7 linked regions of the Solanum lycopersicum genome follow. Each later gene encodes a partner of the first gene's protein in a complex. Links are inferred from orthologs where the notes say so. Each region holds a gene or a part of one and is shown in the gene's direction. Other genes may lie near its edges. The genes, in order: mediator of RNA polymerase II transcription subunit 31, mediator of RNA polymerase II transcription subunit 30, MED18, probable mediator of RNA polymerase II transcription subunit 26b, mediator of RNA polymerase II transcription subunit 9, mediator of RNA polymerase II transcription subunit 13 and mediator of RNA polymerase II transcription subunit 21.

Evidence for each region.
Region 2: mediator of RNA polymerase II transcription subunit 31 (region 1) and mediator of RNA polymerase II transcription subunit 30 share a complex: the UniProt entries of both Arabidopsis thaliana proteins name them as parts of the mediator complex. The link is inferred for Solanum lycopersicum from reciprocal best matches to the Arabidopsis thaliana genes MED31 and AT5G63480.
Region 3: mediator of RNA polymerase II transcription subunit 31 (region 1) and MED18 share a complex: the UniProt entries of both Arabidopsis thaliana proteins name them as parts of the mediator complex. The link is inferred for Solanum lycopersicum from reciprocal best matches to the Arabidopsis thaliana genes MED31 and AT2G22370.
Region 4: mediator of RNA polymerase II transcription subunit 31 (region 1) and probable mediator of RNA polymerase II transcription subunit 26b share a complex: the UniProt entries of both Arabidopsis thaliana proteins name them as parts of the mediator complex. The link is inferred for Solanum lycopersicum from reciprocal best matches to the Arabidopsis thaliana genes MED31 and AT5G05140.
Region 5: mediator of RNA polymerase II transcription subunit 31 (region 1) and mediator of RNA polymerase II transcription subunit 9 share a complex: the UniProt entries of both Arabidopsis thaliana proteins name them as parts of the mediator complex. The link is inferred for Solanum lycopersicum from reciprocal best matches to the Arabidopsis thaliana genes MED31 and MED9.
Region 6: mediator of RNA polymerase II transcription subunit 31 (region 1) and mediator of RNA polymerase II transcription subunit 13 share a complex: the UniProt entries of both Arabidopsis thaliana proteins name them as parts of the mediator complex. The link is inferred for Solanum lycopersicum from reciprocal best matches to the Arabidopsis thaliana genes MED31 and GCT.
Region 7: mediator of RNA polymerase II transcription subunit 31 (region 1) and mediator of RNA polymerase II transcription subunit 21 share a complex: the UniProt entries of both Arabidopsis thaliana proteins name them as parts of the mediator complex. The link is inferred for Solanum lycopersicum from reciprocal best matches to the Arabidopsis thaliana genes MED31 and MED21.

Annotation. Positions count from the first base shown.
Region 1 is NC_090802.1:52,519,641-52,523,845, reverse strand, and holds the start of mediator of RNA polymerase II transcription subunit 31, read left to right. Parts: upstream 1-1,405; 5' UTR 1,406-1,559; coding exon 1,560-1,597; intron 1,598-1,681; coding exon 1,682-1,779; intron 1,780-1,968; coding exon 1,969-2,065; intron 2,066-2,230; coding exon 2,231-2,309; intron 2,310-2,699; coding exon 2,700-2,977; intron 2,978-3,131; coding exon 3,132-3,147; 3' UTR 3,148-3,198; intron 3,199-3,370; exon of another isoform or gene 3,371-4,114; intron 4,115-4,205. UniProt on the Arabidopsis thaliana protein: Component of the Mediator complex, a coactivator involved in the regulated transcription of nearly all RNA polymerase II-dependent genes.
Region 2 is NC_090807.1:2,029,146-2,033,167, reverse strand, and holds the start of mediator of RNA polymerase II transcription subunit 30, read left to right. Parts: upstream 1-1,222; 5' UTR 1,223-1,345; coding exon 1,346-1,744; intron 1,745-3,085; coding exon 3,086-3,184; intron 3,185-3,745; coding exon 3,746-3,844; 3' UTR 3,845-3,880; intron 3,881-3,961; 3' UTR 3,962-4,022. UniProt on the Arabidopsis thaliana protein: Component of the Mediator complex, a coactivator involved in the regulated transcription of nearly all RNA polymerase II-dependent genes.
Region 3 is NC_090805.1:1,888,056-1,892,039, reverse strand, and holds the start of MED18 (mediator of RNA polymerase II transcription subunit 18), read left to right. Parts: upstream 1-1,184; 5' UTR 1,185-1,578; intron 1,579-1,758; exon of another isoform or gene 1,759-1,832; intron 1,833-2,568; 5' UTR 2,569-2,590; coding exon 2,591-2,626; intron 2,627-2,792; coding exon 2,793-2,892; intron 2,893-3,984. Other genes in the region: ZNHIT (zinc finger HIT-type containing protein), read right to left, coding at 375-448. UniProt on the Arabidopsis thaliana protein: Component of the Mediator complex, a coactivator involved in the regulated transcription of nearly all RNA polymerase II-dependent genes.
Region 4 is NC_090809.1:61,266,115-61,270,241, reverse strand, and holds the start of probable mediator of RNA polymerase II transcription subunit 26b, read left to right. Parts: upstream 1-1,327; 5' UTR 1,328-2,294; coding exon 2,295-2,741; intron 2,742-3,348; coding exon 3,349-3,414; intron 3,415-3,515; coding exon 3,516-3,598; intron 3,599-4,127. UniProt on the Arabidopsis thaliana protein: Component of the Mediator complex, a coactivator involved in the regulated transcription of nearly all RNA polymerase II-dependent genes.
Region 5 is NC_090801.1:55,598,965-55,602,915, forward strand, and holds the start of mediator of RNA polymerase II transcription subunit 9, read left to right. Parts: upstream 1-1,151; 5' UTR 1,152-1,472; intron 1,473-2,567; 5' UTR 2,568-2,608; coding exon 2,609-2,965; intron 2,966-3,072; coding exon 3,073-3,135; intron 3,136-3,217; coding exon 3,218-3,298; intron 3,299-3,682; coding exon 3,683-3,741; intron 3,742-3,881; coding exon 3,882-3,939; 3' UTR 3,940-3,951. UniProt on the Arabidopsis thaliana protein: Component of the Mediator complex, a coactivator involved in the regulated transcription of nearly all RNA polymerase II-dependent genes.
Region 6 is NC_090803.1:12,734,184-12,738,238, forward strand, and holds the start of mediator of RNA polymerase II transcription subunit 13, read left to right. Parts: upstream 1-1,255; 5' UTR 1,256-1,438; intron 1,439-1,911; 5' UTR 1,912-2,038; coding exon 2,039-2,062; intron 2,063-4,055. UniProt on the Arabidopsis thaliana protein: Component of the Mediator complex, a coactivator involved in the regulated transcription of nearly all RNA polymerase II-dependent genes.
Region 7 is NC_090801.1:60,839,865-60,843,939, reverse strand, and holds mediator of RNA polymerase II transcription subunit 21, read left to right. Parts: upstream 1-1,420; coding exon 1,421-1,630; intron 1,631-2,769; coding exon 2,770-2,847; intron 2,848-3,019; coding exon 3,020-3,071; intron 3,072-3,195; coding exon of another isoform or gene 3,196-3,203; exon of another isoform or gene 3,204-3,217; coding exon 3,218-3,294; 3' UTR 3,295-3,575; downstream 3,576-4,075. Other genes in the region: iron-sulfur cluster assembly SufBD family protein ABCI8, chloroplastic, read right to left, coding at 1-482. UniProt on the Arabidopsis thaliana protein: Component of the Mediator complex, a coactivator involved in the regulated transcription of nearly all RNA polymerase II-dependent genes.

The DNA of each region.
Region 1 (4,205 bases):
CCTTCCCTAGAGAAGCATGGAGCTCGCTTTGTGAAAAGGGCATCTCCTTGTTTTACTCTCTTTGGTTGAGGGCAAAGGATGTTCTAATTCAAATAAGTCATTAGCTGACATAAATTTCAACTCTGTGGATGATGTTTTAGGTTCTGGGGATTGAGAATTTTTTTCTTTGCTAGCTTGCTCAGATGCTTGCATTTTGGGCAGCAAATGGAAAAGACAAATAAAATAGACAGTTTGTTGGAGATGGTCTGAATTATGTATGGTTGTGGTTTGGTCACTCTTAAGCTCCCCTCTCCTAAACCTCCTTATCCCCAACTTCAAATCCTAATAGCTACATGCAATAAGACCAATGGTGTTTAATTTTATTAAAGGACTATTTATTACTCCATGTTAGGGTAGATACAAAATGCTTTGGTATAGACAGAGATGAAGATTTTGTAGTGTATGGTAAAGCGTCTTGTTAATAGGAAAAAGCATGGACATACCAATTGAAGTAGTCCAAATTGGTAATTGTATAAAGGGTAAACAAATCTAAAATTTGGTTGGAAACATTGGTCATCGAAATATGATTTCGTAGTTGTAGGTCCAAAACCCCCAATTTCCATGCTCATTTTAGGCATGGTATTATGCACCTCTCTTTCATGACACATATATTCAGTTGTGGCCCGTAGACATGTTTCTTTGAGAAATAACCGAAACAGAGTCAACTTGAATTCAAGCTTATAAATATCAAAAGTGATATAAGATTTTTATTCCAAACCAAAATCATGAAGGTTGCATCCAAAATCGCCCTTTTTTTTTTAACCCCTTGGACTAAAATCACAATTTTCACATTTATATAACTACGAATTTAAGCTTAAAAATTCATGCATACTAATAAAAAACTGGTCAAAACTTAGATATAAAGCGCGCAAGCGAGACTCAAAAACGTGTTGAGGGCTTCGCGTCGCTTTATGTGCACTTTAGTGTCTTCACCAATGTTCTAAGGCAAACGTCACCTTACCAATGAGCCTCTTATGAGACAGTGAAGTTAAATCACTGATATTTCACTTTGTCATAATTATTTTCAATTTCTTTGATCATATATTTGACATATTCATGTTTATAGTTATTAGTTTTGGACTAAACATGCATACTTATACTCTTTTCCTCCCTTTGCGTCTTTTTTCATCAAAGCTTACATTTTATTTGCGCTTAAATTCCCCATGGATCGTAAGAGCTTTTTTGCGCTTTTCATCTTTAGTAACACTGGTATAATCACATATGAGAATTATGACTTCACTTAAAAAAAAGATTTCTAACCATTTCAATCTGATCGACTGTATAATCTAGGTGAGTAAATGAATCTAATGACACACTCATATTGAGCAAATAAAAATTAGGATCAAAATCAAATACAAGATGTCATTTTAACACTGAAATTTTATTTCAATATGAATTTAATCCATTTTTACATTACATCTTAAAAATGCAATGAATTTCAGACTTTCCTTTTGTATATATAGCGCAGCAATACAATCAACGGCTAACTTTGAAAAGTAGAATTAGTTAGGGTTTAGCGCATGGCTTCTACATCGAATCCAGAAACCCATGAATCACCGTAAGCAGAATCAATTCATCTCAAATCAATTTGCATCTTCGCAAATTCACATTAATCAACTGTTTTTTCTGTTCCAATTTGCAGGCAGAAAAGCGTCTATAAAGATCCCGATGATGGGCGCCAACGTTTCTTACTCGAACTCGAATTTGTTCAATGCCTTGCTAACCCAACTTACATTCACTGTATCTATCTATCTATTCCCTTCTCTTATTTAAACATGATGTTTTCTGGGTATTTACCAATTATTGTTAGTTTTATGTTATATATGTTGTTGGTGTGAAAATGAATATTGGGTTGCAAAAGCTTCAATTTTTCTATCCCTTTTTCATTTTTTGTTTTGTTTTGTGGACTTTGTATTGATTCTGATGCAGATTTGGCTCAGAACAGATATTTTGAAGATGAAGCTTTTATTGGGTACTTGAAGTACCTTCAGTACTGGCAACGACCTGAGTACATAAAGTTTATAATGTAAGTTAGTTTATAGTATTAATATGTGATAATAGTTATGTATGTTCTTTCTACTGCAACTTTTTAGATGCAGTGGATGATGGTCCTTGTTCCTTTTCTGTTTCCTGTGGACTATGGATATCGTTAACTAATCGTATTGGTTTTCCTTTCTTGATGTTAATGCAGGTATCCACACTGCCTATTCTTTCTCGAGCTTCTCCAAAATCCAACATTTCGTAATGCAATGGCTCATCCTGCTAACAAGGTAAAAAGTTATGTCATGTGTTGTCCTGGTTTCCTTCTCCACTTTTGCTATACTCTTTAGTTAGTTAAGACTGTCAGCCACTATAAAGAAGGTTCACCCCACTTTCTGTAAACACAGTTTCTATGGACTAAAAATGCTGCCAAAACACTTTATAATACATGGTACTTCATTGTCTTAGCCATTAGCCTTATTTCCATTTCTGAACTTTCCCGTAGTTTCTAGGCATAAAACTTATAATTATTTAATCGTGTTGTCGAGGTTAATTCTCGCCCCGAGGACATCTCATCTCATTTCACTGTTTATTATTTATTGCACTTTGTTTGCCAACCTAAAGTTCTGGCACATAAATCTGTGATAGGATCTGATCTACATGTTTGTAACAACTATTAGGAAGTAGCACATAGGCAGCAATTTTACTTCTGGAAGAACTACAGAAATAACCGGTTGAAACATATTTTGCCGCGGCCGCTTCCTGAGCCTGCAACTGCACCAAGTTCTGCTCCACCTGCATCACTACCATCAAGTGTAGCCCCTCCAACTGCTCCACCTCCTGCTCCTACACCTGTTACAGCTGCAGCTCTTTCCCCGATGCAGTATGCCATCCCTCCTGGATCTGGTCTTGCTAAAACGGACCCAAGGAATGCTTCTGTTGATCGAAGAAAGAGAAAGTATTTCCTCTCCTCTTTTACTTTTCTCTTACTGTGAAAACTTTGTCAATGCTTGTTGTTGCATGCTCCCTCTTGTTATGATTTTATATTTTAGGGTTAGATTTGTGACGTAATGTTTCTGAAATGGTTATTGACTTGGATAATTTTGTTTTAGCAGGAAAGACGGATAATTTTATTTTACTCATAGCACAGACCTCCTATCAACTAATTTATGAATTAAGGTAATACATTTTGCACCCCATGATTTCATTTTTCGAATAGGTGTTGCAGTTCCTCATTGGCAAACACATTAATGAAATCCTATTAAGAGTGTGATTTGTTGTTTATTGAATTTTAGAGTCCTTCCCAAGTCTCAAGCATGATCAATGACCTGTACTTTCTTTCTCATGTCAGAAAACATAGTGCTAAAGTTTTGCGAGAGATCAACTACACATTTGTTGGGTTCACTAGGATCAAATTTCTTTAAGAAATAAATGTAGAACTAATTTTATTCCCAAACCAAGTAACCAAAACAGAAAGGAAGCAGCCTGCCTTTGAACTCTTTTGGGATGCCCTCGTTTGTGGTTTCAATTGCTTAATTTTTTAGGCTTAGCTCAGACATCTGGTGATAGGTGACTGGAAGATTGCCAATGCACACTTATAGCAGTAATGGGTTATCAATGGAGTGAAGAATTCGAATCACCATATTGACATGTGAACTTCAGATTTTGATGATAAATGAAGGAGCAACTTCTCTAGTGTGGTCTAAGTATATGAACCTTTGCCTATAATCTATGGTAAATGGGAGGAGTATTTATGGTCTTTGATGCACTTCACTTGGGCAAGGTTACGGTCCCTCTCCTCGGCTAGCCTGTACGAATTCCTATAATCACCTTTGCCTTTGTAGTTATTCTTTCCCCTTCGACTGTTCCAATTCCGTGTCCTCAAAGTTGCAGGTACTGACTCTCAAGGGCCTACTGTCTTTCCAGAAAACTAACAAAAGAGGAACTTTATCCATTTGGCTTGAATTGGGTGGTGTGACACTTAAGAATCGGTACAACCTAGATCTATAGACCTGAAATTAAGTGCAGCACACAAAATTATATTAGCTGTATCACTTTCATTAACGGAATTCCAAGGATTTCATGTTATCACTCATCTCTTTTCTCGTTTTGGTCAAGTGAAGTGCTTCCCCATATATATTTATGAGTTTCAGTTTGAAACTATGCCGTGTGTCCTTTTCTCGACA
Region 2 (4,022 bases), on another chromosome or scaffold:
CTCCTACCGTCATACTTTGGAGACATTGGTACCCCTGTCCCTTCGTTAGAGTGAAGGGCATATATGCTCTAATTTATGAACGACAGAGACATCAATGTCCCAAAATAATGACTGAAGGTATCTGCATATCATTTACGGTAGTTCGAGAATATATTTGTCATTTTTTCCTTTTTATAAAATAAATTTATTTGAATTTTAAAATCTGAAAAGTGTCTTATAAAATGAAATAGAAAGAATATTATATATATATAATATTTTAATTTCTATTATTAAAATGCACAATAAGACTAATTATCGATTCGAATGGTGTTGTCTTTTTTTAATTAGGTATTAATGGCACGTTGAATAAAAAAAAAGGAATCTTTGATTTGTTTCTTTCAAAATCTCAAATGGAAGTTTTTAAACATTTCTTCTTTCGCTTTTTAATTTTAATTGGAATCACACTTTTTTTAGTTTGCATCTATTTGCGATACATAGACTCTCTCTCATTCACTTTACGTCTTTTTCACTCGTCTTTTTTTCTATAAGTTTATATTTTAAAGTGTATATAGTAGTATATTACATGCATCTAGGTCTATATGACTTGACATCTAGTATGAAATTACTAATTAGAAGACGATGCGTAACTTTTCAAAATTATGAAAAAAAAACTACGTAGTAAATATGATAGGAATGTTTATGTAATCTGGTAATTTTTCTGCAACGTTAAACACAGATATTTGTGCACTTCTTTCCCCCATTGAATTTCGGGGAACTTATATACACGTACTATAATTAAAAAAATATTTACCATTTATAGCAATAATAAAAAAAAATTACTTAATCAGTTTTAATTTATTTATAATACAAGTTTTATACATATTATAAATAACAATTTAATATTACATATAATACAAATTTTAACGATGGATAATACGTTTTTCACACATTTTAATACATTTATAATAGAATGTGTCAAATTTAGTAAACAAACTTAATATATTTCAAAAAACAACTTATAATTCACGTACATTGCATACATAATTCACTTTTAATTCATATTGCAGATTTTACATAATATTGCTATAAATGACAATAAATAAAAAGTATCGCTAAAATCAGTAATTATTTATTAAAATGTATTAATTTATATAATTTTTCCTTGAATTTTGACCCAAGTAACTTGATTTTGGGCTTGATCCAGTAATACATAGCTCCTTACCCGGCCCAAAAAGTACACGCCACGCATAAAACGACGTCATTTTATGCTTAAATTAATTCTCCTTACAACTTCTCGCACCGCCGATCGCCACCACTACCGCCGCCGTCGATCTAGGGTTTTGACAAGCCGGTGACATTACCCGGTATGGAGGATAAAGGCACAATTACAAGCCCTAAAACCATACAAGAACTAGCAGTAGAAGGGCAAAAGCATTTAGAAGATACAATAGAAGCAGCACATCAAATTCTCTCCGCCATGAACGATGAACTCTGTAATCCATCACTTTGGTCCACTCTAAATACAGCTGCTGCTTCTTCTGCGGTGGCGGTGGCCGGTGGAGGAGTTGGTGCTAGTGGTGTTTTGAGTAATGGACAGCAGCACCATACAAACGGCGACATTTCGTCTGATACTTCTTCGTCTTCTTCTGCTTCAGCTCAGCATTTGGATATTGGTGGTGGTGCTCTTGATGAATCTCGTCTGCGTTATAAGTCCTCTATTGCTTCCTTGCGTTCTGTTCTTACTGCAATTTCTAATTCCCAAAAGGTAATTTTACGTATAAAAATGCAATTTTTTAAAACATTTTTGTAATTGTGTGATATCTGTAATTTAAGATAGTGATCTCAGGAAAAGTTAGTTTGATGTAATCATGAATCAACAATGGCTTGATCATAAACTAGTTCGGTTCAGCTATATGAATGAATCACTTCTAGTGAAGTCCATTAAACAGAAAATGTGTAAAAGACTGGGGCTTTGTTCAATGCCAAAGGTAGTTCAACGTGACCGCAAAGATTTGGATCCAACGTAGATAACCTCTAGTTTTAGAGGTTCCAAAGGTTAAAACTATTTGATACTGGAGTGAAGTGGTTCCATATGGATATGGAGGATTCGTATACTTCCACCACCAACCAGCTTGTGTTGAGCCATAGGTGGTGTTGGTGTTCTGTTAGATGGTAGTTTTGATTGGGAATGAAACTCAAATAGATATTCTAGAAATGTAGTTCCTTCGGAGTACTGTAGGAGAGAAAAACATTATCCAGTTTGAGCAGAAAAAAAAAGACATTATCTAGCGATAAAGGTAAATTCAGTGTGAAAAGTGTTTGGTGATTGATCTTAATCACAAAACAAGGGGTTAAACAGTTTTGGTGATTGATATGGGAAAGACATCATGTGGTTATATACTAGCACAATTTGCCCTTACCAATATGAGCAACATTTGCACATGGCAATTGTATATTTTGATGTTCTAGACATGGGGATAATATTTCTTCACTATGAATATAATATTCAGTCGTTTGATCATCCCTCGTCATCAGTTGATGAAGCTCAACTGTGCTGCTTACTCTTTTTCTGATTTGTCTTATATTCTTCTGGGTTTGTGGGTGGCTGTTGGGGGCTGGGGATGGGGGAAGATATTTAACTATGTTTTCGAGGTTGTTCTTGTTTCTGCTGTTTAAACGCACATGAGGTATAAGTGTTTATACCAAGATAAACTACTGCGTGTTATCCTTTTCAAGAAAGAATTAGCACTATAATCACATCTCAAGTCCTTGGTGTTGGTGTATGGATTGCCTTAACATTTGTGCATTGGAGAGAATCTGGTTAAGCAGTAAGAATTTTGTTTGTCAGTATGAACAAATAAATCACTGATGTTGAGTGCATTTTTGTTGCTCAACATATGTCCGACTACACATTAAATGAGTTCTTTTAGTAACTTCTTTCTTAAGAGTTGTGCAAGTATTTGCTCCGTTTTAACTGGAAGTTGTCAAACTCTCCTTTCTGTTGTCTCAATTCTCATGATTAACAAGTTATATTTTCTTGTACATTTTGGAAAGTTGTTAACTTATTGTATGATACTTCACACTCATTACTGGCTTTGTTAGCTAGGCAAAAGCATTGGAAGCTGCTTCTGCTAGTGGTTCACTATCTGCAGCAGATCAAGCGGAAATTGAGCAGCTGGAAGACCGGGCCTCTTCATTAAAGAAGGTATTGATAACATATCAAATTTTGACATATTAGAATTTCCTTGGATTTTTGTTGGTTTTTGGGATGCATGATGGGTGGGTTTGGTGAAGCAAATGTGTGTGCCAATATTTGAACCTTGACTGATGTCTTCCTTGATCCATTGAGTAATTTCTTATCCATTAAAACAATATTGAGGTATACTACATGTTACATTTTCATTCCGGACACATGACAAAATGTCTTACTGTACAAACTTTCTCAAGTCTCGATATTTGTCACAACCTCAAATCAGAACAATATGATTTTGTGATAACATATGAAAACTTGGTTTCAACATCCTCTGCTTGTTGTACATACTGTATTATTATTAATTTTATTCCTATTGCGTTAAAATTAGTCAAATCCTGTTTCATTTGCTTTATGTCTCCCCCTAGTGGCAATAAGAAGTCCTCAAGTGAAGGTAGAGTTTTATCGTACTTGAGTGCATGCCTAATAGTTTTCTATTATCTTACGGTAGTGAAAAATCAAGTTGCTATTGTGATCAAGATTTAAAGCATATTCTATTGTTCTTACAAATTGCAGGAGCTTGTAGACAAGAACAAGCATCTCAAACTTCTGATTGACCAGCTTCGAGATCTTCTTGCTGACCTATGTACATGGCAGAGTCCCTGTTCTACATGACTCTGCTGCTATAACTTCAACCATACAATTAAATCGGTGAGGTGTTAGAGATGTCAAAAGAGCAACGTATTCAATCTTAAGAAACTGTTTTATTTTTTTTTCACTTCTTTTGTACAGAAGTTACTGCTAGATTCAAAAAATTGGTCATCGCCGGACACCTGCTATATGCTGCTCGCGG
Region 3 (3,984 bases), on another chromosome or scaffold:
TCTAACCGGCTCCCAAACGACACCTAAGGTTCTTTGCAATGATTTCAATGTATAAAAGTCCGCAATTTAGAAAGCTACATGACTAATACATATATAAGCTACGAAGAAATTTATATATTATTTTATGCCGGACATAAAAAATAACTGCATAATTCTAACTAGTTACCAAACGAAACCTAAGTTTCTTATCAACAAATTCATATCTCTATTTGCTACAATTATGATGTTTTTCTACATATAAAAATTTTTACTCTGAATTTTGTATGAATAATCTATATCCATTCCCCTTCAGTTTAAACTAAAAACAAACTCAAAACCCAGAATTAAAATTCAAATAAATTTCAAAGAATGAAAAAAGATGGAAATATAATTACAAGGGGATGAAGCAATTGGGACACTTGTATCTCGACTGTGCTTCATCACATACTTGACATTTTTTCGATCCCATTATTTCTTCTTCTTCTTCGTTATCGAGGTTTTAGGGTTTTTTCTGGAAGAGGTGGAATGTAAAATTGCAATATTGGTCCCTGAATTTTGAGTTTAGATTCAATCGGGTTCTTACAATTTTATCAAATTATACTTTGAGTCGCTTAATTAATTATGGGCCTAAACTCGAATTCGGGTCCAAAATTTTCAAACCATTTTCTCTTCTGCTAAGTACCACTTTTCTCTAATAATTCTACGAGATACTCGTCACTTTCTATAATAATCATTTTTCGTAAAAGGAATCAAATCATTTTATTCATTTATATAGAAAGAATTTTGCAATAATTAATTTTCGTAAAAAGTATCAAATTATTTTATCCATTCATATAGAAAGAATTTCGTGTTATCAATTTTCGTAAAAGGTATCAAAATCATTTTATCAAAGAATTTCGTAATAATCAATTTTTCGTATAAGGTATCAAATTATTTTATCCATTCCTATAGAAAGAATCCATTAATATTTTTTAATTAATTATATAAGATACTAATCAAATTTTCGTAACAGACATTTATCCACTCGTATGAAAAGAATCCGCTAATATTTTCAATTGATTCTACGAGATACTTGTCACTTTTCGCAATAGGTATTATTCCAACCCTATGTCTTGAGTTTCGACTTTTTTGATATTTTCGACCACTTCATTGAGCACTAAATCACCATATTATCTCTGTTACTGCTAATTGTTTTGGTTTCTCTCAGCCATAGCTTGCATTACTAAACCTTAATTTTACAATTGATCGTAGAAACATATTTTTCTTGCTAGAAAAAATCTCTCTTTGGCTCGTTTTTACTGTTGATTTTTTGTTATGTGATTAATTGGACCTTGTTTGATGTAGAAACCTAGATTTTTTTGTTACAATTGGACCTTGTTTGATGTAGAAAACTGGATTTTTTGTTACAATTGGACCTTGTTTGATATAGAAACCTAGATTTCTAGCTAGAATTTTTTTTTCTTTGGCTCGTTGTTATCGTTGATTTTTTGTTATGTGATTAATTTAGGTCTGCCTGTTTAAGCTTTCGAACTATTTTTTTTAATTGAATTTTTGCAGCTCAGATTGGGGGAAAAAGTGAGATTGCTTCAACTGTTCAAGGTAATTCTTTCAATTTTTTGCTCTGATGTTTTATGTTTAGTTCTACAATGCTAAATGATTGTGTTTTATATGTCATACAATAGTGTGTATAGATGATAAAATTTGGAGTTTGATGTAGAAACTTTGAAAAAACAGATGTATAACAATAAAGATATGTTAAACAAAGATCAAATTGTACAGGCACTAGAAAAATCATATTTTGATGCCAAAATAGTCGAAAAAAACCAAAGGCAACATATACCATATAGTCCAAGGTATTGTCTTTTCTTCACCCATTCTTCTCCTTTTCCATTTTCTCTTTCTTTCCTCCATTTTTGTAGTCATTCGTTGTTTTTGCTGAGCACATGCTCCATCATATAACAATGACAACAACATACCTTGTGAAATCCCACAAGTGGACTATGGGGAGGATAGAATGTATATATGTTGTTGTACGTATGTAGAAAATATTTGCCAAACAGGAGTTAAGCTATGTGTCCAAGTGACTAATTTTCCACATGAAAAGAATCACCCATGGTGGAGTGACTTCATTGATAAAACTTGATACCATTCCAGCACTACTACCTATTTCTTTGAAGAAACTTAGTAAAACTTAAGGTTGTTTGGTCATAGCCTAATGAAAGGAGCAAGTTTGACAGTTTTTGGTGCATATTGGATCATTAGAAGTTTCATGCTTAAAATCTTGGTGAGAATTTGGGTGTACCAAAAGACAAGTAATGACCAAATGCTTAAATTTCTAATTATGGATGGAAAAGGCAATAATTGAAGACCACCCCAAAATAGGGGCAATCCGGGCAAAAACTTTAAGCCTCAATCCAAAACTAAATTCATATTAAGATCCATTAATCTTCAAGCAATGCACTTCTCATACAAAGAGTGTCAACTTTGTTATGATTTTGGTTAGGTGTTAGCTTTTTCGTTGTTACTCTTCTGTTAAACTTAATATCTTTTTGGTTCATAGGTATGTTCTAAAGAGTTCTTTGCATGTAGGTTTGAATAAATTGAAGTGCGAATGGAGTGTGTGGTTCAGGGAATTATTGAGACTCAAGTAAGTTCCTGGAGTAATGATAAAACCTCCCCCTATTTCTCGTTTTTTTCTTATTCAATCTTTTAGAAGGTATGCTACTTGTAAAAGGTATACTACGGCATTTACTGAAACAGTTTTTGGCAATTGATTATTGAAAAGATCTTGACAGTGCTAATCATACTTGCAGCATGTCGAGGCCCTGGAAATTCTGCTTCAAGGGCTTTGTGGTGTACATAAACAAAGCTTAAGGATTCATGAACTGTGCCTTAAAAGTGTCCCTAACCTAGGTAAGTGTATTTTCTCTTTGAACTATTATGGAACTAGGAACTAACCCAATGGTCATGTATGTACTGATGTGGCTGAGGCAAATGCTCACAACCATCTATGCATTCGTAGGGAGGTTTTCTCACCTTTGAGTTTGTACATAGCTGATAATTTTTTTATGGTCCATCTTATTCTAGTTGTACTGTGGTGCTGCATGTCAATTATTGAATGGAATTAGGTTCAAGTATGATTCACTTTCAGTACATCTAATTTATAGGTCGAGACCACATGGTTTTTGCTCATTCACTTGTTGACTGTTGAGTGCCTTGTTTTCAACAAAGTGTTGCCTATCATGGTTTTGTCGATGATACAGATGTGATTCTCTGCGATGATGTACATGTGATTCTTTGACATGTTGATGAGGGTAACGTCGGAGTATTAAAACAATGCTTGTTTCCTGTTAAAGATAGTATGGCAGATGTTGATCCCACAAGGATTGAGTTTCTGCTATCCTAATTAGTGTTGCTCAATTACTATTCGAGTAATCAGATAAGCAGGCGGAATGTTTTTGACTAAAATGAAATATAAATAAGAGTTCTATGACATGAATGATGGTGAAAGAGTATCCATCAGTTCATTAAACGAGTTGAATATAGACTTTTTTGTTCTAATCAGAAGGAGTTGAATCTAGACTTCACTTATGATTAGTGTATGGTGTTCACTGTCCACCAATCAATATTGATCTCTAAGTTATAAGTGCCTCTCTCTATTACACTCAACATTGATTATTCCTCTCGCTTGTAGTAATATCTAAGGAAATAGAAAACCTTAAATTCAGAGCACCTTCAGCTAATCACCTTCCAAATCACTGGTGTATATCTCGATTACATCTAACTACTATAACCTTCTTGGCTAAGTGTATTTCTTTTTATTATAATAGTCAAGGTATTATTATACCTTAAATATGGAAGACGGTTGATTAATTAACCTTGGCTCCCACAAATATATGTTGACCCCTTGTGGTTGTCTACGCATTTGTCATATCATCATCACAATTCATAAAGTATGTTGAAGACTGATTTCTCCTCTTGGTTAGACAAGGAAAAAAAGCAAAC
Region 4 (4,127 bases), on another chromosome or scaffold:
AAAATCCAACATAACAATGAGGACCGAGATCATATAAACGTTACCTCGTTATTGATAAATGCATTGGAAAAATAAATAAAAAATTAAAATTTTGTTTTGTTTTGGATCAAACAAAAAAATTCTGTTTTTTTAATGAAGTTTAATTCCTTCGTATATTTATTTAGTATTATAAATTAAATTCTTTCGAAATAGAAAGAAAATCTACTATACAACACTAGCAATAGAAATTACAAACTTCAACAAATAAAAAAAATTATATGGTACTTTTATTTACAAAATACAATGCAAAAATAAGTAATTTGTATGTTTATTAGGATTTTAAGGATAATAACATCTTTATTGAAACTCTTTTTCTAATTTTAAGTTAATCAAAGAACGAACAAGTCCTAAATAAATAATTATAATAATTTCACATAACAATAACTTGTTCATTAAAATATAAAAAGAAATATAAATTTATATATAACATATTATGATTTATAAACTACAAAAAAGGAAACAACATGAAAAAATCTAATATAACAAAGGGTGGTATAAGACTAAAACAGGAGAATTAATTTTTTAGTCCACTTGCTATTTTTAAAAAGGCAAAGATAAATTGGAGAAAATTTAAGTTAAACTTTATATAAATAAAAAATTTACCTTTTTTATTTGAAGTAAAAAAATAAAACTCCAAATGAATAATAGTATCAAATAACAATAGTTTGTCATTGAAATTTGAATTTAATATAATATTATGATATTTTTTATAAACAGACAGTATTATGATAAAAAAATTTAATGTAAATATGACATTTTATACGAATCAAACGTAATAAGACTTTTTCTTAAAAATTAAAATAAACAATGTGAATATATATTTATCCGTATTAATTAAGCATCTTATTATTTTAACAACTTATATTTCTTTTTATATAAAAATAAATCAATTAAAACATACTTTAAATATTTTTTTATTTTTTATTTTCTTACTTTTAATATATAAAAAATAACATTTTTTTCTTATTTTACCATCGATATTAATTGCTTACTCCTTGCTCATTTTTCAATATCCAAGACTATACATCATTCATCAATTAATATATTCACAACAAAATTATTATTATTATTACGAAATATATTAAAAATAGATAAATAAAAATAAATGAAGAGGATATATTATTTTGTAATTCCATAAAAAAAAACATATATAAAAAAAGAAAACTACTTCAAAGCAAAGAGATAAATCACTTCCTTAACTTGAAAATAAAAATCATTTCCTTTCAGATTTTTCTTTTATTGTTTTTCTATATTATGTCACTATATTTATTTATTTCTTATCATCCTTCTTTGAACTGAACACAGTTAAAAATAGTTTTTCTATGTCAAAGAGATATGAATAAAATCTATATCCATATCATTTCTTTAAACTTTACTTATGAACCTATATCAAATATGTTATTCTCATCGTTATCGTTGTCATCATCAAAGTTATCCTTATGAATTTCATCCATAAAAGAAGTTTTCAAAATCCAATTTCCATTCTATATACATATCAGAATTCGATTAGTTCAAATTTCACACTTATTCATACTTAAAATATATATTTTATATACTGACAATCTCTCGAGTTAAAAATGAAGGAATCAGAACCATCTCACCACGATCCATGCTAATGACCGAAGAAAATTGATCCTTATCACCTACCCCTAACCCCTACCCCCCACCCCCAACAGAGAAAAAACAATATTTTTTCTTCCTCTCTCTCGTGTCTCTTTGAACCAGCACCTTGTATTGCTTTTTTTTTTACAGAGAGAGAAATATAATTAAAATAATAAAAGATAGCTAGAGAGAGAAAATCTTCTATACTTTTTTTTTAACATATATTCTTTTTCTCTGGAAAAATTTCTTTCAATCGGAATAATTTTTTCTAGATTTCTCTTCTTATATCTCACCAAAAACTTAATCGGATTTTTATTTAATTTTTTTAATTTTGTTTTGTCATTTTGGGTTTATAGAGTTTCTATCATATGGATTTTTCCTAAAAAAAAAGCATAAAAATCTGTATCCGATTGCATTTTGCAGAACTGAATCGCCGGTGACACTGATTATTCAGTTTCCGATCATCGGAAAAAGTACCTAATCGGAAAACCAGAGGTTTTTATTGCTAAAAACCTTGTTTCCGATTAGAATTTGTATGATTTTCTTGTGGGTATAATTAAAATCGGATAAAGATTGAATTTGTATATTTGGGTATTGATAAATAATTGATTTTACGATCTGGGTTGATTTGTTTTTGCTCTGAATCATCAGTTATGGCGAAGAGTAGTGGGACTTTGGATAAATGGAGGGACTATTTTCGTACTGCAAATTCGGATATATTTGATATAATTGAGTATGCAGTGATGGTTGCTGCTGTTGATTGTCCAAAGGAATTTAAAATGAGAAGGGATAGAATTGCTGAAATGTTGTTTACATGTAAAGTTACTATGTGTTTTGGTTGTGAGAAAGTTGATTTAGCTGTACCAATTGCTGGTAATGATGATGAAGGAAAAATTAAGAGTAAGGATGAGTTTGGTGGTAGTAAAGAGAGCAAAGTTAACAGTAGGATAGATCATCATGATGTTGAGATGAATGTGAATCAAGTTAGCAATTATAGTTATGGAGAAGCTGAGGCATTAACTGAGGAAATGGAGGAAGAGACTCAGACTTTTGGGGAGGTGATGAGGATCAAAGATGTCATTGATAACAACCAAGCTGAGGTTCATTTCATCTCTATTGAATTTTGGTTATACTGTTGATTTGAAGTATTTTGCTGTGTTTGGATTTGTTCAGTCAAGAATTGGTGGACTCTGTGTATGTGAATTTGAAGTTTGTGTACTTTTGGGGTTGATCAAGAAGAAAATCTTGATAATTGAGCTTAAATGTTGTTAAATTTTTGGAGTTTCTGGTGTTGTATGACATATAACAATGGTTACTTTTATGGTTGAATTTAATGATTTGAAATTTCTGTTCTTGTGGGGTTGATCAGGAAGAAGAATCTTGATAATTGAGCTAATGTTGTAAGATTTTAGAACTTTTGTGGTTGAATTTGATGGTGATTCTATTTTCTCTACTAGTGTCTATAACTGGAAAATCTGATATGAGGTTGTTTTCATGTCACAGTTAGGAAACCTTTATGCTTTTCATTTCCTTTTTGCCCCCTTTTTGTTCCTTTGATCTAGTTGTACAAGGATGTTGCTTTCTTTAGCTTTAAAACAATGTATGAAGCTACTTTTAAACTCTTTATATCTTTTGCTATTTCACTTGCTTGGTAGTTTTGAGCTTTCCTCTAGTAATCGGGTTTTGAGTTATTGTTCTTTTTGACAGTCTGCAGAGTTGTTTGAGTGCTTAAGAAGGCTTCAACTAATGGCTTTGTCTGTGGAGACTTTAAAGGTTTGATCTTTTGACGCTTCCAAAATTTCATCTTCCATTTATTGTGGTTACTGTTTTTTAAATTTATTCTGGATGGACATAATTGATTGCTTCTATATCAGGCCACAGAGATTGGAAAGTCGGTTAATTCTCTCAGAAAGCACAACTCAAAGGATGTTCGGCATCTATCTCGGACATTGATTGAGTAAGTAACTCTTGCTTTATTGCTGAAATAACTGTAAGAATGTCGTCAAAATATGTATGCACAACACAGTTCTAGTAGTCTGATCCGGGGTATCTTTAATGTGGCTGAATTTGTTTTATCGCAAAGGTTTGAACTTTTGTCTTCGAGTTGAACTAACATGTCGTATTGGTGGCTCTGGCAGCTTGCTTTGTCGGTTGTAGTTTTGAAGCTATTATTACTTTTTAACGCTTGCAACTGTTTGTCGCTTACCGTTTATCTTTACCGTAAAATTAAGATTTCATCATAACTCAATCATCAATGCATACTAATGATGGTGATTGCTTCATTTATCGAGTGCTGAATTTGTTTTTATCGCAAAGGTTTGATCTTTTGTCTTTGAGTTGAACTAACATGTCTTTTTGGCGGCTCTGGCAGCTTGCTTTGTCGGTTGTAGTTTTGAGCTATTATTACTTCTTAACGCTTGCCACTGTTTGTCGCTTACCGTTTTTCTTTAATTGATGTTATCTTTAATGAAGATTCCATCATAACT
Region 5 (3,951 bases), on another chromosome or scaffold:
AAAAATTAAAGATTATTATTTATTATTATACTTTTGAGTATTTCTAAAGTATCTTTCTATTTAGAAAAAGTAAAATAGTTAAGAATTTGAAAATAGGAGAAAAAAACTCATCATAATCGTGAAAGTCACTCTCAAAAGGCTCATCATAGCCCTTTTTGTGACTCGACTCAAGCTCATCATACATTATTCGATATTTGAACTATTCAGTTATTTAAATTACAAAAAACACTCGACAATTTATTTCATATGAACTAGAGGGAGTATATTTCAAGCAAAAATTATTTTGTGACTTTTGTCCATTAGTTTTGATTTATTCCATCGATAGTTTTATCATTTTAAATTTCCGCAAGATTTAGTTACTAAGTGATGTGTAATTTAATTTCTCACACATTTGCAAAAATAAATTTTGTGTACCCACTTCGCTAAAAAAATTATCGACTCTTTTAAAGTTTGAACAACCTCGGCGAAATTTCTGGCTCCGCCACTATTTGGCGAGTAACATACTCATCATACACTTTCTTGGATATATCGCGTTAATTCATTCATCATCAAGATAAATGATTTTGATCTAAAAGTTGATGTCTGGTGCAACCTCTTCATAGTGGAAAAGTGCTTTTTTTTCTTCTAGGTCTTGACTCCTTCATACATGTCCTTGATCTTCTAAATATACGTCATAGAGTCTGGCATTAATACATACATTTTATGAACCCTAAACACCCAAAGGGACCTCCAAAAAAATTTGGTGTGTGTTTTATAGAGGGTCCCTTTTAGTGTTTAGGGTTTAAAAAGTGTCCGTTTTGATATCAGACTTCTACATACCTCCAATTTCCAAACATCTCCAAAAAACCTCCTTCAAGACTCTGTCTAAAAAACTTTCCAATCAATGAACATCATATGCAAGTTTTTCTATTTGACTGTACTTATTTATCAATCTCTTTATAATGACTTTTGAATACATGTGAAACATGCTTAGATATCAAGTGTATAGAATAAATTATATCTAATTTTGACTCATATGTATCTATTTTGTAAAGTTCTAAGAGAAAATATAATTAGAAAGTATAGTTTCAACCGATAAATAACACAAATGTAAATGTGTGTTTTGTGTTGTTTCCTCTTAATTTAAATACAATTCATTCAAATTTGAATGCACTAGTGATCTACTTTTTTATTAGTTCAATCTATTTCAGTTTGTTAAAATATTAGTTCATATATAAATCAAATCGGTTAATGAAAAGTGAGTTTTATGTATTTTGAATTAGTATTTTAATTATTAAAAATTATCTATTTTTTTTTAATACATACTAAATTTTATACTATAGAAAATGTTAAAATTTCTAAATTAGCTTGTTTGCTCTTGAAATCGAAACCTCCCCACAAATTGGGACAGCGGGAGTAATTTCAATTTTGCTATTTGAAAAAACAGAGGATTTTCCGTTGGGGTTTAACCGGATCGGGCCTTTTCATCTCCGGTAATCTTTCTCGTTTTGTAATTCTCATCGTACTTCTGCTTTGTTATTAACTGTACTAGTTGTGGTTTCAGTAAAGTTTAGCTTCGTATAGTTGTGAATTCATTCTCTTGTGGCGGCTTAAATCAAGGGTTTGGTTGTCAGTGTTATAGCAAACGAAGATTCTGTTCAGAAGATTTAGAGTTCTTTTTTGTTGGAAATTTTGAGGTTGTGATTTTGACCTAAAACTGTTAATTTCATAGATAGAGAGATATTTGTATGTTAGTAATAGGGAACCTCTAGGGTTATGAAAACCTAAATTATTGAATATTGGAATAGATGGGGTTCTAATGGAGAGAATTCATATAGTAAACCCAAACTAATTCGGGATTGAGGCATACTTCTTGATTACTGAGCTAAATTAGAGATAAAGAGTAAGAGGTGCAGTTGGGATTGATTCATTTCTCACTTTAATAACTATCTAATTTTACAGTTTTAGGTTTTGTAAACTTTTTTAGTGCATACTAATAACTATCTACCCTTTTGGTTTGCTTGGGATTGCTAGCTCCTTAGCTTTAGTTTAGGATACTTGTATGAGTGCTGAGATTTTTTTTATGCCCTTCCGAATTAGAGCTAAGCGGTCGCATATTTTGTAATCTGGCATCTACCCGATGCCCATTCAAGGATAATTTTTAACCTTATCAAAAAGACATAGTTGCAGCAGTAATTTTTTCCGATGTACCTATTGATTTAACAATGTGAACACCAAATTTATACAGATGTCATGGTAGTTTTTACTTGGAGATAAGAGTTTACTGTTTGTTAAATTTCAAAGAAGAGTTTACTGTTTGTTACGAGGGATGGGCTTCAGTTTTAGAGGGTCTCACTTGATGGCTTTGTTCTCTTTGGTACAAAAGAACTATTCTTGTAATAAGATGTGGATGAAATGTCATTTAGGAATGATGGGAAATATATTTTTGAAGTGGTTTGTACATTTCAGAATCTTAGGAATTATTTCTCTTTGCTACTCAGTCCATTAGGCCAGTTCATGCTTTGATAGTTTTGGCTATTTGTGTAGTACTTGATTACATCTGATGACATTAATTTTATCCATTTTAGAACCAAAGTACCAACAGATTTCAGCTCAACAGCCATTAGTTATGGACCACTTTGGAGGAGGAAGTTGGACAATGATCCCCAACATCCAAACTCACAGTAATCCTTCGACACCCTCCAATCAAGACAATTTATTTCTTCAGCAACAGCAATTTCAACAACAACAGTTCATTCAACCGCAGCTCTATCAGCAACAACAGCAGCAGCAGCAGCAACAACAACAACGGTATCAACAACAGATGCAACAGCAACAAATGCAGCAGCAGCAACAGATGCAGCAGCAGCAAATGCAGCAACAACAACAACAGCAGCAGCAAATGCAGCAACAACAACAACAGCAGCAGCAGCAACAACAACAACAGCACCACCAATCACTTGCCTCTCACTTCCATCTTTTACAAGTATTGGGCAAAAACCATGATCTGTAGCTTGCTATTTTAATAGAGTAACGAGACATTTCTCTTTCCTAGTGAGACCTTTTGTTCTAACTTTTATTGTCATCTTACAGCTGGTGGAGAATTTAGCTGATACAATTGAAAATGGAAATCGAGATCAGCACTCAGATGCATTGGTTTGTTCATTTCTTGATTGATGCATTATATGTTAGTTTTCCATTTCTTCTACATTAAACCGGGTGTATTTTTCCTCACCAGGTAACTGAATTGAAAAATCAGTTTGAGAAGTGCCAGCAGCTGTTGACATCAATATCAGGGTCTATTAGCTCAAGATCTATGGTATTTCATTTTCACACATATCCTTTGATTTCTGTTGTAACTTGTTCTGAACACACCCCCAACTCAAAAAATAAAAAGAAAAAAGAGAGAGACTCCAACAAAGAGTTAAGCGCAATAATATGAAAACAGAACTTCAAAATTATTCTTTTCTGGAAGAGTTGGATTGTTTTTCTTTTGGCAGTGTTATTGCTTTTAATTGTGCTTTTCCATTTGGGCCTGTTTGTTCAACTTATAGTTGTGAAGAATTTTACTGAAAAGTGGGGTTCAATATGTTTGAAACGATGTTGACTTGAACAAAGTTGCTCCACAAATTCTTATTTGGTTGCATGTTTTGATGCTTAAATATGGGTAAGATAATTGACCAGTCCTGTGTTCTTTGGACAGACAGTTGAGGGACAAAAGCGCAAAAAGGCAGAGTGCGAACAAATGCTAAATCAGCGAAGGTTTGTATTATATATATATAAAACACACACACACACACATATATATATGTGTGTGTGTGTGTGTTTCTAATATTGTCTACTGAAATTTGTATAATTATTATTTGCTTCATCTGATGGTCATGTTTCATGCTTAATTACAGGGATCTTATTTCGAGGTACAAAGGCTCAGTTGAGGAGATTATTAACTCTGAACTATAGCTCATACTCGCA
Region 6 (4,055 bases), on another chromosome or scaffold:
CTTTTTCTTTTACCCTAATTGTCATATAATCAATTATAAAAGATGATAAAAGTAACCCACTATTTATTCCCTTATTAACTTCTTTAAACCCCCAAGTAAATAAATTATTAAACTTACCCCACTAATTCCATAATTATAATCATGAATAGTCCAAAACACCCCTTTAAAACTTTTAGCAGAAATCCGACCAGTCGGGGTTACGCCGCTTGTGACGGTCCGTCGTGTCTACGACGGTCCGTGCTGCAGGTCCGTCACAAAGTTCAGAGAGTTAAATTCAGTAGTGAAGCTTGTGACGGTCCGTCGTATCTACGACGGTCCGTCCTGCATGTCTGTCACAAAGTTCAGAGAGTTGATCCCAGTACCCAGATTTCAGAGTTGAAGTGTTTTGGAACGAAGGCCCTTGACGGACCGTCGTGCCTATGACGGCTCATCCTACCTGTCGTCAAGAGTAATGAGGAGAGCAACAGAAGGAATTACACAAGTATGGGACGACGGAGTCCATCACGGTCCGTCGCGACCATGATGGTCCGTCGCGTGATCCGTCGACCCAGTCAGTTTTTATCAAAAATAGTTCTACTGCTCGAACTGACTAAACAGGTTGTTACAATATTTGATTTGTTGAGACCTCTTCATATTCATTAAGAGTGTTTTTTTATAAAAAATAAATGAACTTAATGGCTGAATCTAAATGATTCAAATTCAAACATAAAAATCAAACGCACTTAATGAGTTGAATCGGAATGATTAAGATTCAGACCTCCATTAGTTGCAACTAAATGAGGCCTGAGGTAAATAATGAAAATGCGAAATGAAATTGTGGGTGTTACTCTCTCTAATACGAAAGACAATAGGTCTCTTTCTCGCAAATCTCAAACCCTACTTGTGATTTTCAAAGAAAGCTCATTATTTTACTGTCTTTCAAAAATTACATCGGCGAAATTCTCCCATAACTCTATTATGTACCTAATTTCTCAATTCTTTTAGTTGATTTATTACAATATTATATAACTTATTCTACTTTATTTGTACAATATCTCGTATTTACTTTCGATTACAAAAATAGATCTAAACCATTAATATTGTAGTAATTATTATCTTAGAAGGCATTTAAACTTATAATAATATATATTTTTTCAACTTTAACCATTTGATAATCTAATTCGTTCAATCGAAAAGTGTCTATCGAGATATCTCAAAGAATTAAAGACAATCTTACAAAGTTGATATTAAAACATGAATTTATTCAAATTAAAGTGAATTAAACAAATTATAAAATTTCCATTGATAGTAATTATCTACATTCTACTTTGTATATTAAGGGGGTATAAGCAGCCGCCGGAGTATTTTGGGCGTTCATTCTGCTATTTTTGCTTACTACGCTGCTTCTCAATTCTCACAGTTTAACATTTTACATCGCCTTCATCAGATCTGATTCTATGTATGCATCTCTCTGTTCTACTCCCTGCTTTTCGGTTCTGTTGTGATCGAATTTACTTAAAAGAAGTGCTTTCGATGTATATACATGTGTTCGTTTTTGAACTGAATTTTGGGGCTTTTTGGTTCTTTCGACTTTTGGGGATTTGTAATTATGAACACCTTTTTTTAGGGTTGAACTAGTCTTACTATAATGCAAAGTGGTAATTTTGTATTTTGGTGTTGCCCCTTTTGTTTGATTAATGGAATTTCGTGTTACTTACAATGGATACTGGAAATATTTGGGGTTGATGTTTCAATTGTGTGTGTTTGATTGCTCTAACATTAGCTAAAAGGAACCCTCGATTAACATATGAATAGTTGTTTGCTTTGCACTTGTTCTAGAAAGATTAAAGATTACTTTTTTTTGGTTGATATTTATTGAGTTCCTTCAACTTTGGCTTACGAACAATAATCTATTGTTTTATGTTTTGTTAGAAGGAAGTGCAGCTCCTTTGTTGTGCAAGGAAATGCTTGGTGCCTCTGATATAGGTCGTTTACTTTAAGATCCATATTGCAGAGAAGTGCACGTGCTTACTTCATCAGGCGTCAAAATTATCTAGTGATGTGGACAAATGTGTTCAAGATCGTATGTTTCTTGCCTTCGTATTGTTCTATGCTTCATTATACCTGCCGTTGTTGTGATATTACAATTTTTGTGAGGGTTAAGTTGAAGGTTTTTATGGTTTACCATTTTGCTTGATAAATTTTACAAGTTTGGAAACCCTAGTAATGAAATTGTGTTAATCTTATAACCCATTTTTATGGAATTCACATAGCTAACTTAACATGCATTTTCTTATTTCCTTTCCTACTAGACTGTTATTTTTCTTTGGGTAGAATGAACTACCTCTCCCAAAATTAAAAGAAAAAGGAAAAAAGAAAAGAGAGAGAACAAAGAAGCCCTCAGTTGCCTCCCTGACCTCTTCTTTCTCTAACACTTCTCCCGACCTCACTAAATGTACACAGTTTCTTCTTCAGTTAGCAATTGCTAGACGATAAAAAAGAACTTCATATTGCAGTCTCTACTATCTTTACCATCACACACTCGTTTGCTTTCAGCTGATTTATTGAAAAACTTACAGCGTCCATGAATTTCATTATCACCCTTTTGTTTCTGAGTTTCTCCTCCAGTAAAATCCTTCCATTCTGAGTTCCAGAACTTGTCCTATTCTCTAATATCACTTAAAAGATTTTTCAAGTTTCTTTGACTGACGGCCAAAAAAGACAGGATCCCTAGAATATGATGTCTTCACCATTGTCTCTCAAGTTCTGCAGGAAACTCTCAACTCTCTTCTGTGGGAAATTTGACTATATATACACGGACCATGCACACCTAAGTATTTATTGATCTACCTGTTAATGCATAATTTTTTTTATTGTTTCTTTCTTGTATGTTAGATACGTGATCATGTTATGCTGCCTATTGGTGCCTGGCGCCATTTTTTTGCTCTGAATCGCTATTGGAACTTTATAATGGCTCCTGCCACTCATTTGGACTCTATGTAAAGAAAAAAACTTACTGTATGGACTGACTAATAAATAGTAATATAAGAGCCTTATTGTTAAATGGTTATCGAGTTTTGGTTTTCTTCTTTCCCAGCAAAATCATATCAGTTAGTGGATATATAAATAAATCAAACAAAAGTATTAGGTTGTCAAGGTTCAATGTTGATCAGTAGGAAGAATTGTTGAAGAGAAACTGTAAAACCAAAAGTGTAGTTAGCTGGGGAAAATGGTGCGCCAAATCTTACGATATTAGACACTTCTATAGTTGTAAATAAGTACATCAGGAGCTATATGGGAGGAGTCCTATTATTTGGTAAGATTGGAAGTTGGGACAGAAGAAATATTAGATTTTGGAACTATGGATGGCTATGACATGACCCTCAATAGTCAGTTTCCATGACATGTACATGGTTGGTTGATGGAGTTGTCAGTGCTGGTATATAAGTTTTAGAAGAAGCTTTGATGAAGGTTATGATGTGGAAAGGTCAGAGTTTATAAGGAACTGGAATATATTGAAGGCTCAACTTCAGCAGTAGATTCAGTGTTCTGGAAGAATGGTTAGAAGGGAAGTTCACAGTGAGCTCTGAATAGGATCTGCTGAACAATCCTTCTGAAGGGAGTACGCAGAAGCCCTGGAAATCCTATGGGATAGCAAGGCTCCCAAAAAGTAGCTTGTTTTGCACGATCACAACACATGAGGCACGTCTAGACCGTGACAACTACAAAAAGAACATAAATATGTAGCAGATGCTTTTTGTGGGTCAAAGCGTGTGAAACCCATTAAAATTCTTTAATACTTTTTGGAAAAAAGCTACTGGTAGATCTGGTGCTTGCTCTTGAATATATTTGGTGTACAATGTGTTATGCAAAATAAATGAGTACTTTTGAAAGCTGGCAGGTAAGAAGATTAACAAGGCAATGAAAACCTTTGGAGTATGTTTCGGCATTATATAATATGAAGTGTGTAGAATGGTCATAATCAGATTTTTAAGGGCCAACTTGAGGCTGTAGACGACTGAATGTATGTGTTCATATTTTTTGCTTCTTTGGTAGGATGAACAATGTATATGTTT
Region 7 (4,075 bases), on another chromosome or scaffold:
TCTAAAGTTGGTTTCTTTTTAGGTTCTGAATAATAACAAATATTCTGAAAATCAATTTCTGGGTACTGATTATCAGACCATTTCGGCTCTTTCATTTTAACAAATTTCTCATACGATTTCAATCTATACTCAAGCATCCATTCAGGCTCATTCTTTCTTGATGAAATTAACCTAATAGTATCCTCCGAAAGCCCTTTTGGCAGCGCAAAAGATTCAATATTTTCATTAAAACCCCATTTATAGTCTCTTTTCAAGAATTTCTGAAGTGGGTCGCCTTCATTTGAGATTGATAAAGATGATTCTTTACCTGGAACTTCAACAGTGGCCTTCGCATCAGCAGCTTTAATCTTGAAATTACCTGGATTTGAGATTTTGGGGCCGGGTGAATTAGGCAAAAAGTTATACCCTTTTGGGAGTTTAGGCTGCTCAGCGATGGATTGAGGACAGAAGTGTGAGATTCCGTTGGTGAGAAGAGAAGCCATAGTTGATGCTTAGAAGATAGAAAGAAGCAGGATGAGAAGGCAAACATAAATTTTATTTGTTTCTTTTTTAATTTTTTGTGGTGTCTGATCTAAGATGTCGTATGCTGACCACGTGCATCTTTTCAAAGCCTAAATTACAACAACAAAAAAAAAACAATTAAAAAAAATAGTAAAGCTAAATTATTTTTGTTGCATTTTATGTCATTTAAGCGCTCACTTGATAATGATAAAGTCAGACTTTATGTTGAAAGGTTTAAAATAAAAACAAGTAAATGTGAAGAGTTATGACTGGTGTTTGTGCATGTTACTTTACAAATTAGGACTGGTGTTTGTGCATTATCTATAAGAACGGTGAAACTCAGAAAGTGACGAAATTTACTCAGAAATTCAATGGCGTTCATAAGAGAAATTTGTAAAATCCTGGGGAAAATCGTATAAGAGAGAAAATCGTCTAAGAAAAAAAAAGGGAAATCGTATTATGTTTTAGAGAAGTAAAATGAATGAAAATGAGAAAAAAATTAATAATTAAGATTTATGAGTCTACATGGAGATGATGTTTTTTGGTGCTCATGTGGCATCCATATGGTGTCCACGTGGCGTTCAGGTGACACTTAACACACCTTTGTTAAAATTAAGGGTAAAAATAACTCAATACTTTAATAGAAGGGCTAGAATTTAATTTAAAGATATATGTGAGCTAATTCGGATAATTCAGAAATATTTTTGAGCATTTTTCGTAAAATTTAATTGAAATAATGGTTAATTTTAGGTCTAATTTTAAAACAATTGTAACAGATTATCGAATCTACTTCGGCTCTACCCGGACCTCCAATTCTAGGGTTTTCAGGTAAGTTCTTCTCCTCTGTTTTCTATTCCTTTGTTCGATCTTTTCTCAAAATTCACCATTTTTGTTAGCAATAAAGGGAAGGATTTGGAAGATGGATATCATATCACAGTTACAGGAACAAGTAAATACAATTGCAGCTCTTGCTTTCAACACCTTTGGTACTCTTCAGAGGGACGCCCCTCCTGTGCGTCTATCACCTAATTATCCAGAACCTCCACCTGCTAATCCCACAGAAGACTCAGCTAATGTTGCAGAACAACCAAAGCAAATGAGTGCTGCTTTTGTTAAGGCTGCCAAGCAGGTGAAACTCCATACTCCATACCTTCACTTTTTCTGCTTATTCATCAACGAATATGAACAAGCCACAGACCAGGGTATAAAAGTAATCTGCGTGTACTTCGAGAATAGGGAATTTTCTCTTTTTTCGGAAGATCAAGATAAACTATTTAGTTTAGTTTCCTTTTTTGTGTAGACATTTTTTTTGTAAATGAGCCTGAATAAGTGATTGAACTTGTAGAATCCCTTTAAGAATAGGAAGGTATATCTTTGTGTTCCCTGTAAATGTTGTTGATTGCACCTTCTTGGTGCTGTATTACAAATGCACTTACCATTCCTTCAAAAAATCATTTTTGGACAAAATAATGTTTCTTTTGTCTTCTTTTGACTAGTATGTTTACTTTTGGAAACGTCAAATCTTTAGATATATGATGTGTTTGTGCAGTTCTATACAAGATAACACTAAGTTGTATCTTGGCTCATCATATCTAATGCGTACATGCAGTTCTATACCAGATGATATTAAGTCTTTGTTTGTTCAGACTTGAGACCTGCGTGGTTGAGTTCAAAGACCTTAGTCCTGATTCCTGAGACCAGTGTGGTTGAGTTCAAATACCTAGTCTTTTGTCCTTAGTTTAACGAGAAATACAATAATGCTATTAGCATCACCAACTACTTCAATAAAACTTGACTGAATCACATAATGGCGGACAAATTCCAACTACTAGCTGGACAGGATTGCATGCCTCTAGGGATTTTTACTAGAGAACTTGATGTCAGCCTCTCAGGTTTGGTAACCATGACATCTAGGCCAAGACTCACCGGGTAAACCTGGTGTCAAAACCGGAAAACTGAGTTCTAGTTTATCGCCCTTTAGCTGTCTTCTATGAAATGTATATGGACAACCCTGTGATTAGTTCTAAGGTGTTCAAGTTTACAGTTATGTTTCCCTTGTTTTCTTCTTGGCCTCACAATCAGAGGTTGTCTAATCTAGCATCCTATCAAACTTAAGCAGCACAGCCGACACTTGAGAGTAGCCTTGAGGATTGTGTGGCTCTAATTCAGACCAATTGCAAATTTTCATTGTGATCCTAAAGTGTATGCTTTGCTACAATGTCATTGTATTAAATCTATCTTCTCTTTTTCTTATCCTTCTTTGAGCAGTTCGATGTGTTGGTTGCTGCTCTTCCTTTATCGGATGGGAGTGAAGAAGCCCAATTGAAAAGAATTGCAGAACTCCAGGTATATGCTTCTTTGTGAATAATTGGTGGAATTCACTTTTTGACATCCTCTAATTCTGATGTGTTATAGCTTAACAGTATTTAAACTAAAAAAATAAAGAAGGATAAATAAAGATTAGTCTGTCTATTTTGGGCTTAGTAGTCTTACTCGGTTGTGTATGTATGTGATGTAGGCTGAGAACGATGCAGTTGGCCAAGAACTTCAAAAACAACTGGAAGCTGCAGGTAAGAGTTTGTTTTTCCCTTGCTTTCTTTCTGAAAGATAGTGGAAGCTGTTCTGATTAGGCTAAGGTCCAAATTTCCGTTTTCCTGTCTGTATTATTAATTTTTTGTTTATTCTGAGACTCAGTTTGCTGATTTTGGTGATTTAGAGAAGGAGCTAAAGCAGGTCCAGGAGTTGTTTAACCAAGCAACAGATAACTGCCTGAACTTGAAGAAGCCAGAATGAATAAGGTAGTAGATATTTCAGTTTGCTTGAGGAGCCCATTCTTGCTGGAATATACCCTGGAGGAACAACAAATTGATTGTGTCCATGTCTGTTATGGGTACATTTATTAACTAATTATAATTAGGCATGCTCTGACATTATTTTTTTTTTAAGTTCTTGGCCACTGCTGAAGAAAAGAATTCAGTATACTATTGTATCTGGTTTAGAGCTGTGTTTATAGAATGAAAAGAGGTAGGGATAATGTGCCTAAATAGCAAAAATCAGCAGTTTTTTTGTCTCCACATCCTTAAATATTAGTGTCTTCTGTGCCACGTGTTCAATTTAGAAGTTGGCTAGTTTCTCTGCTCCAGCACTTGTCAAAAGTTATGCAATTATCAGACTGACTTCGTAAACATGTGATCCCAAAACATGGCAGCTGGCATGCACAACTACCCTACCGAGTTGATGATTTTAATTCGTAGACACATTTTGGGCTGTGTCTGGGTACTTTGGGAGTTTAGATTGCATATCGCCAGAATATTTTCTTGTCGTGCTGGAACTGAGGCGTGGCCGAAAACAAGTAGCAACCACACAAAATATATAGAAAACCTTGTCTGCCTAATATGTAAGCGTGACAGCAACGAAGAGAAGAATTTACAGCCATCGGGGTTTGTTGAATGCTAAAATTTAGATAGAACGTGGGTCCAACTATGACTGGTAGAAGGACTCAACCACGTCATATGACAATTGGCATCAATACATGAATGAAGAAACTAACGCAGGAGACGTATTGAAGACTACA